Linked DNA regions of Notamacropus eugenii. The protein of the gene in region 1 interacts with the protein of each later gene in a pairwise test. Links are inferred from orthologs where the notes say so. Each region holds a gene or a part of one and is shown in the gene's direction. Other genes may lie near its edges.

Region 1 (7,217 bases):
TGGCTAAGAGGATATTTTACTTTGGGCCTAATTTGGAGTTTAGCCAAAATGTTCAACTGTGACTCTCTTTTGATGGTGCTTCCATCAAAGAGGGGTTTTTTCAATTCAGATACTGTGAATTCTAAATTTTATTTTAGTGTAAGGGTTTAAATGAGGAGTTAATTCTGAAAACCAGTAAAACACTTGAATGTAAAATAAGACGTCTATCCAGAGGTGATGGACAAGGAAGCTCTGTGACAGATATCTAAGTCTCCTCCCAACTCTAAGATTCCAGGATTCTATGATCTCAAGATTTGAAAGTTCCAAGATGCCAGCATCTAAGGACTTGGTGGCTCCAGGATTCCCTTTTTCAAGTTTTCAGAGGAATCTAAAATTCTAGGACTCAAGAGTCTGTAATATGTTGATTAAGTAGGTAAGCATGGAAAGCACATAATAAACTCAGAAGACACTGATAGCAATTTTTCATAATAAATCAAAGGGCTGTCCTGCTCCCTCTCTGAGGACGCACTATAAAGTGAGCCTTACATGGCCGGTAGCAGAGCCCCTGTGGCAGCTCACCGAATGTTAAATCTGAGTGGAATCTTAAAGATGATTGAGTCCAAACCCCTCATTTTACAGGTGAGGAAACTGAAACCCTAATGGTCAAATGGTTTGTCCCGAATCATACAAGGGATCAGTGATAGAACTCTTCCAGCCTTTGAAGTTCAGTGGCGCCCCCCACCTAGCACATGTTTTGTGATTCCAGAAGCATTCCACAGGGTCATAGATGTCTAGTCCATTTTACAGAAAAATCTTGAGTCCCAGAGATTATGTTACGGGGGTTCAAACCCAATGACTCTAACGCCAAGCTAGCATTCCAATAGAATGTTAGAACAGAAGCGTAAAAAGCAAGTTTTAGTGTCCTGTCCCCATGATCTTTTCAAAGCTTCCACAAGGGACATAGGGAGGCACACAGGGTGAAGAGAAATGCTTGTGAGATCCACTATATTCTTCCACCCTCTTTGCAGTCTTCTTGGGGCTCTGGTGAATATGGCTATTTAGAGGATTAAGGAAATCTTGGGTAATAAAGCCGTCTTTTTAATTGGGCACACTGGTTAAATTTACATTGTGGCCTGATTCTTTGCCTTCTCTTAAGGTATAAATGTGTTTTCCTGAAGGTAGTACAGTAATTTTGTTCTCAGCCTCCTGAGTACATAATTGACTGTATGCCTTATGGAATTAGCTAGGAGCCTAGAAATGATTTATTGGTAAATTACTTTGAACCAGCAAGTCACTGCAAAGAGGTTAGTACAGTATGGGCTTAAATAGCTAGCCAAAGAAAGAGCCAGATTTATGGCTGTTGGAAGAAAAAATTGGAGTGAGGTTTACTATTAAAAAATGAGTCAATGCTAGAAACATTTTCCTTAATATAAAAAACCGGGCACTCTTTCCTGTTGTTTTAAAGGAGAGATCTTAATAGGAGAGATCTTAATAAGACAGAGAAACCCTAAATTTTTGGTGTTGGAGGGATATACAGAAAGCAGTTTTCAGTGATTAAACTTTAAATGTTTGAGATTTTTCTACCTCGCAGTCTAGCTTTTGCACCTATATAAGATCACAGTCCTGTTTGGGACCTTATAACCTGTCTGTATTCCTCAGCATAAAAACATAAATGCCCATTGGGGACTTCTCTATAAGATCCAGTAGGATGGGGAATACATCCTAGAAATGGAAGAATGTCAGTAGTTCATCCTTTTCATACCCTGTATTCCAGAATCAAGAATGCTTGACACACCCTCCCTAATTCCACCCTTCTAAAGCCTTGGGAAGTGGCTGGCTTCCCTTTTTTGCAAAGGTATAGATGGCAGGTAACTAGCCCAAGGTGATAGTTCATTTCAGGTGAAGAAGAAGAATTGAAGAAATCCAGGCTTTGAGGTGTATCCTCAGCCCAGTAAATGGATCATTACTGAATTTGAAAGTAGCAGAGTGGCTTGGAGAAAATGGGATGTGAAATTTCATCCTTGAAAGATTTCCCCAGGATAGAGGACCTTTCCATAATAATGTTTCAACCTATTATGGTCATAGATGGCCCATTATTTCCCCTTCATCTCAATTCTGGAGAGTAATATCCTCACTAGAAACAGTGGCATTCGTGATTATACTCAGCTCACTGGGTTCTGTCATCTTGCTGGAGGAGGTGTGTTTTTTTATGTGCAGTATCAGTTCGTAAACTAAATGTCTATTTATTTTGAATTACTGTCCACATAGGAGATATTTCTGAGCTTTTGTTATTGCCTCTGAACTGTCATTCAATGGAGCTGGTAATGTTTTTATAAGCAGTAAATTCACAGCTGTGCCAGTAGTAATTGAGATTTTGTGTCCCACAGGGAAGTCTTGATGAACCCTTTTCTTTCTGTACATTCAATCCAAGTTCCCCAAGAAATTAAAAAGAAACCTGGAATTGTAGAAATTATGAGCAGAGGAGAAGAAGGAGGATTTGCGTGTGTAATGGAATTTGAAGTGGGGTCCATGGATAGTGGGGACAGGCCTTCCTCATGATGGAGGTGGGGTGGGTGGGTTTGGAATGTAAATACAGATTAGTTGTAGTAGGCTAAGGAATCCTACTGTCTGGTCATTTGGCCAAGAGTTGCTGCTCGGTGTAAATATATGAGTGGTCACTAGACACTGAACATTCTTAGTGAGGTGCTGATCCATGGTCCACAGTTCTACTGTAGAATGAAAACTTCTGGCCATCCTAGGTCATGTCAAACTTAACATGGAGAACGTCCTGGAAATATGGTGCAGTCATACCCAACTCACAAGGGGAGGAGAGAACAGGCAGAAAGGCCTACATACAATGAAGCCAAGACTAGATACAGGAATAAGCCTATCAGACCATTCAGATGACTTTATTTGGGCCTAGAGATTTCCTTGTGTAGAGAGAATAGGATTATCCTTGTGAAATCCTCTGGGGATGCTGGGGCCTTTAAAGGGTTAGGTTAAGAGAAACATTCCCAGGGCACTCTGAGCAGAGAGTCCTATAGCCCTGGGGGCTTGGCTAGGTTGGCCTTTCATTTTCCTGCAGAGTTCATCATCCCATTTGGAAAATTATGCACTTTACTATTTTGTTTGGCCCAGGCCATGTTTGCATTGATTTGTTTCCTTGTACTGTTTGGTCAATCTACCAAGTTCTCTTGCTGTTAGCCAAGTTCTACTGCACCTCCTTTATAGGGCTGAAAAGACATCCTCCTTCTCACATGGCACTTTCTGAGGAAGAAGGAAAACCACTTTGAGTATAGGTAGATTGCTTTGTGTCTAATATGCCCTTTTCTGAGGAGATAGCAAAGAAAACCCTTTCTATTTGGGCACCTTCAAGTGGCAAATGAAAAGCATGGTATTTTCCCAAGGACAGAGAGGCAGCTAAGTAGTACAGTAGACTTGTAGTCAGAAAAAACTGAGTTCATATCCTGTCTCAGCCTTCAGCTGTGTGATGCTAGACAAGTATTTTAACTGCCCTCAATCTTTGTTTCCACATCTGTAAAATAGGAACATAAGTGTACCTACTTTATACGGTTGCTGTGAGGATGAAATAACATGAAAAGTGCTTTGCACACTTTATAAATGTCCTATGTAAATGTTAGCTTTATCATTATCAACATTCACAGTGGACATTTAAGGGTGAGTAAGCATTGTATAGGTAAAGACATTGGACTCAAAATAGCACGACCTGGGTCTCGTGGTTCTTAACTGGATGGTTATGGAGGAGTTGTTTTCTCTGTCTGGATCTAAGTTTCATCATTAGAAAGAGAGAGTAGGCTTTTTCTTTTTGAACCCGGAAGAATAAAAGCGAAGGCAACGAGGAAAAGGTACAAAGAAGCCAGTGTAAGAAATGCTGTCAGGAAACACTTCTAACAATAAGAGCTGTCCAGAAGTAAAACGGACTTCTTAGAGACAGGTGAGCTCCCCCTCCTTTTGGAGGGCTTTGGGCAGAGGTTAGATGATTACTTGTCTAGTATACTATACTGGAGATTCCTTTTTTCCCTTAAGTATAGGGTGGACCAGATGGCTACTGAGGTCCCTTCCAGCTCTTAAATTCTGTGGATCACTTGTAAAAAGCTCAGAGCAGTATTATCTGTTAGTACTCCCTACCTCCCGGGGTTGCTATGAGAAGGATGATTTTTATACTGCAAAGACTATAAAAATGTGACCCATTATTACCACTCTTGGTCTTCAGTACATTATAGAAATGAATTTTCTGCTGATTCAAGACTTAATTATCCGATGACCTTGAATAGTCATCAGATACCTTGCACTTAGTCATAGAATGTCAGAGCTAGGAGCCACTTGTTTGTTGTTCAGTCACGTCCACCTCTTCCTGCTTCCATTTGAGATTTTCTTGGCAGAGTGGTTTGCCATTTCCTTCTCCAGCTCATTTTACAGATGAAAAAATTCAGGCAAATTGGGTTAAGTGATTTGCCCAGGGTCACATAGCTAGTAAGTATCTGAGGCCAGATTTGAACTCAGGAAGATGAGACTTCCTTACTCCTATAGTGCTCTACATTGTACTACCTAGCTAGAGCCACTTAGGATATAATCATTTCTAAAAGGGAAATATTAGGGGCCATAAAAGGGAACACATTTTACAGTCACACAGCGCTACATGGTGGTAGAGCTGGGACGAGAATATATGTCTTCTGTGACTGCTAGTCTAGTGCTTCCCATCAAATTGTGTTGCTGTCACGTAAGTACATCAGTAAACTATTTTGGAAGGAGGTGGTCAGCCATTGTGCAGAGGAAAACATGACTGGGACCTCATGTGATTATATACACTTGTCTTGTGTTGGACATGGCCTGCCAACTTTAAAGTTGGACAAGAAGAGGTCAAGAATCAAATAATAGCTCACATTGCTATAGCACTTTGAGACTCCACTGTACTTTCCTCATAACAATCCTGTGAGTTAGGTAGTGAAAGCATTTTTGTTTTTTGTTTTGGATGAGACCTGTGATTTCATTGGTATAGAGATCAGCAACTGCTCTGTGACTTACACCTTTAGAGAACTACCTGGGGCACCAGGAAGGTAAGTGACTTGCCCAGGATCAAACAAAGAGTATCTGTTAGAGGCAGGATTTAATCCAGGTCTTCCTGACTTCCAAATGGGACCTCTGTCCACTCTCTCAATTTGGCACTGGTAAAAGTATCTTTATCTCGATTTTAGAGATGATGAAACTGAAGCCCAGAAGGATGAAGTGCCTTGCCTAAAGTCACTCAGGGCTGAGACTAGAATCCAAGAAATTCTGATTCTAGGACCAGTGTTATAGCTGTTGTGTCACACTATGCCCTTCAGTACCAGAAAGTTTATTTAGTTCTGTTGTGTTTGATGCACAGGCAGATCAACAACCAGAAAAGTCCAAGCTCTGAATGAAATAGGAATATTAGATCCAACGTGAACCATTTACTTTAAATGAGTATTGTGGGTTGTTGTTTGCATATATTCATGGTCTTGGTCTCCCCTGTGGAAAAAAATGGTGAAATAAGATCCTCAAATTTCCCTTGTGACAACATTACAGGATGAACCCAGTACTCATTGAGAAACGTTAATTGTGCATGATTCAAGAGACTGGGTGGGGCTGTCTTGTTTGAAGCTAAGAAAAAATGACCAGTCATCTTCACTAGCCAATATCTCCCATGTTATTACTGTGTCTAAAATAAAAATGTATCTCCAGTGTTTGGGATCTTAGTGCATCTGAAGGACAGCATCTTTGACAGCATCCTTTATCTAAGTTTTTCTAAAAGGCCTTTATAGTAGTTGCTTCGACTATCAGTGAAAAATGAATGTCTGTTTTTATTACTTACTCCTCCTTCCTCTCTCCCCAAGGAGTATTCCATGTGTTAGTCAGAAGAAAATTCTATCTATTCTAAGATAAAAATGAATCTGGGGCCAGCAAGGGTCCAAATTAGCATCTCATTTAGAAAATGAGCTTGGGAAGAAAAGGGGATGATACCTAAGGTACCATTATTCCTGCTTGGCTTATGCTGAATCACATTATGAAGCCGAAACAAAAAGCTTAGAATGAAAACATCTCTAGCCTTTAGCATAAAAAGACTTTCGTTATCTTATTTGGCAATGTATTCTCAAAAGCCAGTCTGGGTACAGGAATGTCCTGTCCCTTCTAGTACATGTAGTAACTCAAGTAGATCATTGGAAAGCTTGGGCTGAGTAAGGAACTTTCCCATTTTTGGCAGGATCACAGGTTTAGAGCAGGCAGGAATCCTTGGGCTCACCTACAAGGGAGCCCCTTGTTTAAGAGATGAGGAAACTGGGCCCAAAGAAGTGAATGACTTGCCCAAAGTTACACAGATATTAAGTGGCAGATATGGGATTTGAACTCAGCTCTTTTGACCCTACATCTAATACTTTTTTTACCTGGACCGTACTGCTTCCATTGTAAACAAGTTCCATGGGAAAGCTGTGCGACCCTGTACTTACCACTGAGTGACAGTGTTGTTTTTGTGGTACTTGGTGCTGTCTGTAACGTTCTGCCTTAGCAGCATTTCCCTAGAACTACTTTATCACCACACCAGTGGGGCTGGTAACATGTAAAGGGTTGCTTATGCACATTGTGAGTGTGAAATTATAGATTCTTTGCTCTTAGCTGCACATCTTTTGTTTACTTGGGCCTCATTCGTATTCAGGTTTTGGGTTTGATTTCCTGTAACTGAGATGAGGATGACACTTGCTTTATGGGAAAGACTAATGAATGTAAATCACTTTGCAAGCCTTAAGGCACTATATACATGCTGTCCTCCTCCTCCTCCTCATCACTATTATTAGCCTTTAGTTGAGGCAAAGCAACATATCACAAAATAGAATCATTCAGTCAATCAGCTAGCATTTATTAAGTGCCTTCTATGTGTTAGGCACTATATAAGCACTGCAGAGACAAAGAAAGGCAAAACCAACAAAAGACAGCCCTCACTCTCAAGGAGGTAACATGAAACATGAGACAACGTGCAAACAACTATATGTAATTGATATATCCAGGGTAAATTGGAGATGACTCAGAGGCAAGGCATTAAGATTAGGGAGGCATACAAATGGCTTCTTGCAGAAGGTGGGATTTTAGCTGAGACTTGAAAGAAGCCAAATGAAGGCTAGTTTTATGAACTGTACTTTGAAAAGAAAAATTATTGTATTATTCATATCTCTGTTCATGTCTTGGTCTCATGGTGTAAGAGA
Region 2 (7,771 bases), on another chromosome or scaffold:
TGTGCATCTGGCAGGAGGCTGAGAAGAAGATGAAGGAACAGCAGGATGAGGCAGAACGGCAGCGTGAGGAGGAAGAGGAAAAGAAGCTGAAGGAGGAAGAAGAGGCCGGAGAGGACAAAGATGAGGAGGACAGGGAGGATGAAGAAGAGGACGAGAAGGACGATGAGGAAGATGAGGATGGTGCCCAGCCCAAGGATGAGCTGTAGGGGCCAGGACTGAGGCTGGAAGCACCCTGGGGGGCCAGGCCAGGAGCCAACTAATGTCTCTATGAGACTGGAGAACTGTTTCCAATAGGTGGGGTTGTTTGGGGCTGGGTGGGTTTTTGTTTTTGTTGTTTTTTAAACTGGTGTCGGTTTCATCCACTCTCCCTCAGGTCCCTCTGCCCTCAAGAGCCTCTTGGGAATGGCAGATAGTGGGGGGCACCCTTCAGCCATGGGCTCAGGGGCATGGGGATCCAAGGTGTCACTCTGCATGGATGCTCAGCCTCCCTGTTGACTACCCAGGGATAGAGACTTCCGATACTAAGCTGCCTCCTTTCCCCAACTGGCCTCAAGTCCTGGCTCCTCTGTTTTTACCCCATCCTCAGGAGCCAGAGAGGAGGAGGAGGGGGGTCAGTCAGCCTGGCCCTGCCCTTAGGTATCCCATAGCACTGAGGGGGGCTAGGGTTTGGCCAACAGTGCCTAAGCCAAACTCTTTGCTCCCTTTTTTCCCCTCTGCCTGGGCTGAGGGCAGGGGTGGGGGCAGAGCCCCTGTTGTGGGGGGGAGGGTTAGGGAGGGGTTGTCAGTTCTTGCTTGGTCACATTGAGAATGTAAGAACAACAAAAAAAGAAATTTCTATTAAATTAAGTTTTGTGTCTCCCTCATGTGTTTGATTTCTTGGAGAGGGGAGCAGTGTAAGCTTCTCAGTTTTCTGAACTGCTGCCCAGCCCTAAGCTAGTGGGGTGGAACAGATAGATCCCTGGGGTTCTGGTCAGTGTGAAGTGTCTGTCTAGTGGCTGCTCTGGCCAGAGAAGATGGCCTCTGTGCCTCTGGTCAGCTTCTTTTCCCCACCTGTGCTGTAGGGCTCAGAGTTCCAAACAACAGGAGAGATCCTGGTCCATGGCCTCTCTCCAGGAGCCAAAAGACTGGATTATGAAGGAAAGCTTTTTGGGAGGACCTGTTAACAGTAACTATTCAGTTTTGAGTTTATAAGTAAGATTTAACGTAATAATAACACTGTCAGAACCTTTACCACCTAACTTCTTTCTTCTGGGTAACTTATTTTTTTATTGAGTCTTTAAAATTTTCTTTCCCATCAGTATCACTAGCCACCACTCCCAATACAAAGCTCTCTACCCTCCCTGGTAACAGAGTCAAGGGAAAAAAATTCACATAATAGCAGTGTCTGAAAATGTATATTCATTCTGTACCAGTCTGTCCACTCTTTGAAGGGAAGCCTGCTCCAAGTTTTCTACAGTTATCACTGGTAATTTCATTGATAAAAGTGCTTTTTTCTTTTAGAGTTATTTTTATCATCAGCATATGAATTCTGGCTCTGTACTACTCTGCATTATTACATAAAGTTTCTATTCTTCCCCCCTGAAATTGCAGAAATTGTCATCCCCAAATAATGACCACCCACTTTATTTATATGGGCCCTTTTCCCTCTTGATCACTTAGTGTGGCGTACATAAATCCCAGTGATTGCTGTGTCAGAGTATGTATATAGGGTTTGGTGAGTTGAAATTATCCTAATTTCTTGCCAGAATGACAGGATGAGGACTGGTTTTTATAGTTTGTGTTGTGATCAAGATATTTATGTGTTAGACCATGAAGTTGAGAGCCCTTGATTGTAGCTGTTTCTATCACCAAGGTCTAGCATAGACTGCTTTGTTCATGACAGGCATTAAGTTGCTTGAATAGAGGAAATGAAAGTGGAACTATATTGGGGCTGAGTCCCTGAATGAGGGGCCTAAGGAGGGTGTGGCTGTTGTCAAGATTGGGAAGTTGGGAGAATTTGGTACTGGGCTCCAGCTTGATAACTGGGCCTCAAGCTGTGCAGATTGCTAGCAAATACTAGAGAGAAGAGAGCGCCAGGGACTAGTCAAGTCCAGAGAGAGCCCCAGGAATGATTGATCTGACAGGTGAGGTCTCCAAAGGAGAGCCTAGAAAGGACAACAGCTAACATTTTTATAGTGCTTACTGTGTTCCAGATCCCATTTGGTCCTCACAACAACCCTGGGAGGTAGATGCTATTATCTTCATTTACAGATGGGTTGACTGACACAGATTAAGTGACTTGCTGGACAGAGTCTGAGGTGGGAATCTGAACTTGAGTCTTTATGACTCCATGCCCAGCTCTCTGTTTCCATTGTGTGCCATCTAGATTACCCATCCAAAAGAGGTCAACAAACAAGATAATGAGGATCCTCAAGCCTTAAAAGATTGGGGTAGGAAAGGATGGCTGTTGGGCTTGGGTAAAGAGACAGGTGAGGTGAGGCCTTCAAGGAGAGGACTTATTAAGGTTGAAGTCTTTTGGGCTCAGAACTAAGATCACAGAATGGAAGTTACTTTGTGACAAACAGTCATGTTGGGTGTCTCTTCACTAGGGCTTGTGAGCCATCTGTTAGCGCTGTTAGTAAAGGGATCTCTGCACAGGGATAGATGAAATGGCCTCCAAGCCTCCTTCCGTTATTGTAATGTCATTTGAGGTCCCCCAGAGATCCCAGAGGACCAGCGGAATAAAGATACAAGTCCCTTAACTCATTGTATACCTGCTCTTAAGTTGTATCCTCCCTGAAGTTCAGATCTCTCATTTTGTGTGTTTGAGAAAATTAGTGCTGGTCATAACTGATAGGCTATATCGGCTATTGCCCCTTTGTACTTTCTAGAATCAAGTGTCCCTCCCTTGCCACAACTATTCCCCTATGTCGTCTCTTACTAGAATCTAGCAGGACTAGTATTTATATCCCCGGTACTTAGTACGATGCTTGACGAATGGTATTTGCTTAATAAAATGCTTGTTCATTAATATGTTTACTCAGTGAACTTAGCAAACTGGTGGATGAGAAAGATGAACTAGAATGAAATTTGACTATCATTAAGGCTTACACAGTGGCACAGTGGATAGAATGCCTGGCCTGAAGTTAGGAAGATACATCTTCCTGCGTTCAAATCTGGCCTTACACACTTACTAGACCCTGGGCAAGTCACTTCACCCTGTTTTATCTGCCGAGAAAACCCCAAATACAATATTAAAAGAAAACTCAGCAGCAACAGCTACAGTAGCAATAAGGGCCACAGTGTTCTAGAGGCTGGAAACTCTCAAGCTTACATTCCGCTGGGAATACATGTTCATTTATAAGCAGCGATGCACGGCAGCTATTGAGCCAATCACGCTGATTGTTTACATTTCAGTGTGTGCTTTTATACCTTGAAAATTAGCAAACATGATTTATTGTTTGTTGGTTATACTGTAGACCAGATGTATTGAACACTAAACCTGCAAGCCCACAACACTTCTATAAATAAAAAGATTACAAAACACTGGTAATATTAATATGTGCTTTTCTAAGTCACTATGTGTCCTACGGGGATTCTTATGTACTTCAGTGACCACCATTTCTATTGATATCACTGCTCTAAAATGTGATGAAAATGTTAATAATGCAAATTAAACTTAAAAGGGTGTTGTGCTACCTTTTTTATTTTTGCAGAGTATGTTAAAAATTTACCAGCACATCCCTGCATAAGTAAATATGAGAAATTTCTAGAGATAATTCACAGTGGGGGAGGGGAACAAGAGAGGCTTCCTGTGGAGGTGGTACACCTGAGCTTTGAAGGAAGCCGGGAGTTCTTATCAAGTTGGAAGTGAGAGATATTCCACTGCATTTTCCCCCCAACTACATTTTTTGATATTAAGCTTGTCAATGGAATTCAACAAACGTTGACTACACTGTATAAAATGCTGAACTGGGTCCCAGATGGACAAAAATCTAGCTTGGGAAGTGTGGCGTAACCTGCGAAGCCATCACGTAAGGAGTCCGCACTGGTGGGAGATCTGACCCCACCCTCTGACTCTGAGCTGAGACCTCCCCTACGTGATGACCTCCTAACAGAGGGGACCTCCTGGAGAGCGGCGAGAGGCCGGATGTTGTGTTCGTGTCTGGAGCTTCGCCCAGAGGAGTCGGTGAAAGCCTCAGGACCAAGAGATGCGTAGCACCGGGTGATCCAAGCGAGGCTATTTCCCCAAACAACTGGGATTTTCTTGAAAGCACAGGATATGGACTTTGCTGGGAGGGGACAGGCTGGAAGGTGTAGGGGATGTAGGAATGTAGGGGATGGGGGATGGGGGAAACCTGGCTCCCCCCGCCCTGGAGGTGACAGCACCAGGCTTGTTCTTCTGTTTGCTACCTGTGTGACCTTGGACAAGTCACTGAAGCATTTCTGGGCCTCAATTTCCTCATCTGTAAAAGAAACGGTTGGACTTGTAAAGTCCCTTGCAGCCCTAACTATCACACTATGATCTCCTGGGGCCATTTTGTGACAACATGACGCCACCCAAACAATGACGTCACCATACGAGGAGCCTCTAGTGCGCAAACTCCAGGGGAGAATGGGGGGGCAGAGGTGTGCTGCCCCTGCGACAGCGACAAGGTGGTTCCTCAGTACGCATGACCGGGAGAGAAAATTCCTTTTTTTTCCGTTCATCGACCCCCGTCACGTGATCGGGGTCGCTGCGCTCGCGCCTCTCCCTCCTCGGTCTCGTCACGAGGCGCGCATGACCGGGAAGCAGTTCCCGGCGTGGCTCAGGGCGCTAAGATGGCGGCGGCGTGAGTTGCATGTTCCCGTGTGTCTACTGTCCCGGGGCCGCCGCGTCGGACGGAGTGAGGGACGGACCGGACGGACGGAAGCAGTCGCTGCCGCCGCCCCCCGGCCCAGCCATGGCCGTCACCGTCACCTTGAAGACGCTGCAGCAACAAACGTTTAAGATCCGCATGGAGCCGGGGGAGACGGTGAGGCCGGGACGGGGACGGAGGCCGGGACGGGACAGCACAAGTCCGACTCGCCTTCGCCCTTCTCCCCGCGGGGCGGGCCAGACGCAGCCCCTTCCACCCCCTCCCCCTTGCTGTCATTAGCGGACCTCCCTCCCCTTCCCTGAACCCTCTCCCCCTTCCAGGTCCCCCAAGTCCCCCCTCTCCCCGTTACCACCACGCTCTCCTTCAGCGGTCAGCGCCCACCCTGTCTCTCTGGGCCTTTGGGGGCGGGGATGGGGAGCCACCCCCAGAGCTACTTTTTGGACAAGGGGGAGGCTGCTGGCAGAGCTCTGGTCCTCTGTTGGGGAAGCCCCGGTAGCCCTGGGCGATGAAGGTAAAGATGATGATGATGATGACGACAGCAGTGACTTACTTTGGATAGTGAGCTATAGCTCCCCCCACCCAACAACACTGCCGAGTAGGTAGTGGGGGGAGAACTGTCCCCACAAGTACCGGAGGTACGAGGGGGAGAGGCGAGGGTGACACAGGCAGACAAAGAAGCGCTGGGAGCCCTGCATATCCTGGACCTTTGCTTCAGCTGTGGTACTGACTGCGGGCTGAGGCAGGGAAGGGATTATCCCTCCTTTTACAGACTCCAAGGGCCCTTCTAAATCCCCTGATCTCTAAATCCTCTGCTCATAGGAAAGATGAGGAAACTGAAGCCCAGGAAAAAAGGGACTTGCTTAGGTTCATATAGTGAGCAAGAGCTGGGATGAGAAATTCCAGCTCCTGACTTCTAGCCTGGGCGACTCTCCATATTGGCATCTGTTCCCCTTTCCTCCTGTGGTCCCCAGAGTTCTGAGGACCCAGTCTATAAGACTCTACCCTTCCTTCCCCTCCCCGATCTCTTGACTCTCACTTTGTAACCCTTGGACAAATCCTTTGTGTTTTGGGTCTCAGTTTCCCTATCTGTAAAAGGATGAGGTTGGATTCTTTTTCTAAGGGTCTTTCCTGACCTAAATTCTGTGATTTTCTCCTCAGGTGAAGGTGCTCAAGGAGAAGATTGAGGCAGAAAAGGGTCGTGATGCCTTCCCTGTGTCTGGACAGAAGCTTATCTATGCAGGAAAGATCCTCAGTGACGATGTCCCTATCAGAGACTATAAGATTGATGAGAAAAACTTTGTGGTCGTCATGGTGACTAAGGTAAGGACCAGTAGGCTCCTGGGGTAGAGGAGACTAGAAGATATTCCAACTATGGTGTGTGCCCATCTGTGTCCTAGATAGATTAGGCCTGGTGAGGGTGGGGTCTGGTCCCCCAGCTCTGTTGGAGCTGATAAAAACAAGGCTCTGACCTATCTTCTCTTTGGCCCTCCCAGGCCAAAGCTGGGCTTGCCACTTCGGCACCTCCGGAGCCCTCTGCCCCTGCTGCTGCCAACACCCCGGAGCCCTCCACACCTGCCCCACCAGCTCCCACCATTGTTGCCATGCCCCTACCCCCGCCAGCACCCAGTGAGGAGAAGAAGTCCACAGAAGAGTCAGCTGCTGGGACACCTCCAGAGGCTGGGCCTGGGTAAGGCCTTCCCAGGTTGGGGTTGGGGGACTCATGAGCTCTGGACTTTCCTTTTCTCATGCTTTCCCAGGATCTCTGTATTGGAAAGGGACCTCAGAGGGCATCAATTCCAGTTCCTTCATTTATAAACAAGGCAGCCAAGGCCTAAAAAGGGGTTAAATGACATTCCTTCTGTGTCATTTCTGATCATTTTATCATCCAACCTCTGCTTTAAGACTTCCAGTAACAGGGAACTAAATCCTGAGGCAGCCCATTTCATTCTTGGACATCTCTAAGTTTTTAGAAAATATTCTTTAAATTGAGTCAAAATCTGCCTACCTACAACTTGTACCTTTTCCATTCAGTGCATTGTACAGTGTACTGCAGGTCACTGGCTCTGGTGTCTGAGGATCTGGGTTCAAGTCCTATGGCTTACACTTTATGTTATGTGAACTTGTATACATTACTTAACATTCCCTGGGGCTCAGTTTCCTCATCTGTAAAATGAGAGGGTTGACTAGATGATTTCCAAAGTCCCTTCCAGCTCAAATTAGATGATTTTGCAATCTAAGTTTTACCCTTTGGAGCCCAGCAGGATGAATCTGATCCAAGTCTCACATATATGAGACTGCTCCAATGCATCTCTGGGTTTGTTGTCTTCTGTCCCCACTCCCAGAGATCCAGGGCCCCTAGGATGGCGAGAGAGAGGTGAGCAGCCCTTTGAGGAGCCTGAATCAGAGGGCACAGAGTCTGAATGAAGGAATGGGATCTCAGAGGCCATCTGAATCCAACTGGGTCCTAAGCAAGAATCTTTTCTAACAACACCTCTAATCCATGGTTGCCTGGCTTCTCCTGAAGACTCCTAGTGAAGGGGACCTCACTACCTCCCAAGGCAGCCTCATGCTTCTTTGGGACAGCTCTCCTAGTTAGGAAGATTTTGCTTACATTAAGCCTTAATCTATTTCTTAGCAACTTCCCATTGCTCTTATTTCTGTCCTTAGATCAAGCAGAAGCAGTTCTCCACGGGATAGCCCTTCAGATCTTAACCTGCTCCCTTGTAGCCTCAGATGTTCCCTTTTCTACCCCAAACTTCCTCAGTTCCTTCAGCTCCTCCTCACAGCTTGTTCTCCCATTCTTTTACCATCCTACTTGCCTCTCAGGCGGTTTGATAAGGGCAGAATAGAGCAGAACTTTTGCCTTCTTTGCTTTGAACAGTGTGACTCTCATAGCAGCCTTGGATTGTTCTAACTTTACTTTTTTGGCCGTT

The links.
Region 2: the proteins of ZBTB8A (region 1) and RAD23A interact in binary tests that used the Homo sapiens proteins (3 or more experiments, as listed by UniProt). The two-hybrid records come from large-scale screens. The link is inferred for Notamacropus eugenii from reciprocal best matches to the Homo sapiens genes ZBTB8A and RAD23A.

Annotation. Positions count from the first base shown.
Region 1 is NC_092876.1:77,436,733-77,443,949, reverse strand, and holds the start of ZBTB8A (zinc finger and BTB domain-containing protein 8A), read left to right. Parts: upstream 1-4,186; 5' UTR 4,187-7,217. UniProt on the Homo sapiens protein: May be involved in transcriptional regulation.
Region 2 is NC_092875.1:77,924,089-77,931,859, reverse strand, and holds the start of RAD23A (UV excision repair protein RAD23 homolog A), read left to right. Parts: upstream 1-4,757; 5' UTR 4,758-4,820; coding exon 4,821-4,994; intron 4,995-5,996; coding exon 5,997-6,158; intron 6,159-6,331; coding exon 6,332-6,525; intron 6,526-7,771. Other genes in the region: CALR (calreticulin), read left to right, coding at 15-206. UniProt on the Homo sapiens protein: Multiubiquitin chain receptor involved in modulation of proteasomal degradation. Binds to 'Lys-48'-linked polyubiquitin chains in a length-dependent manner and with a lower affinity to 'Lys-63'-linked polyubiquitin chains.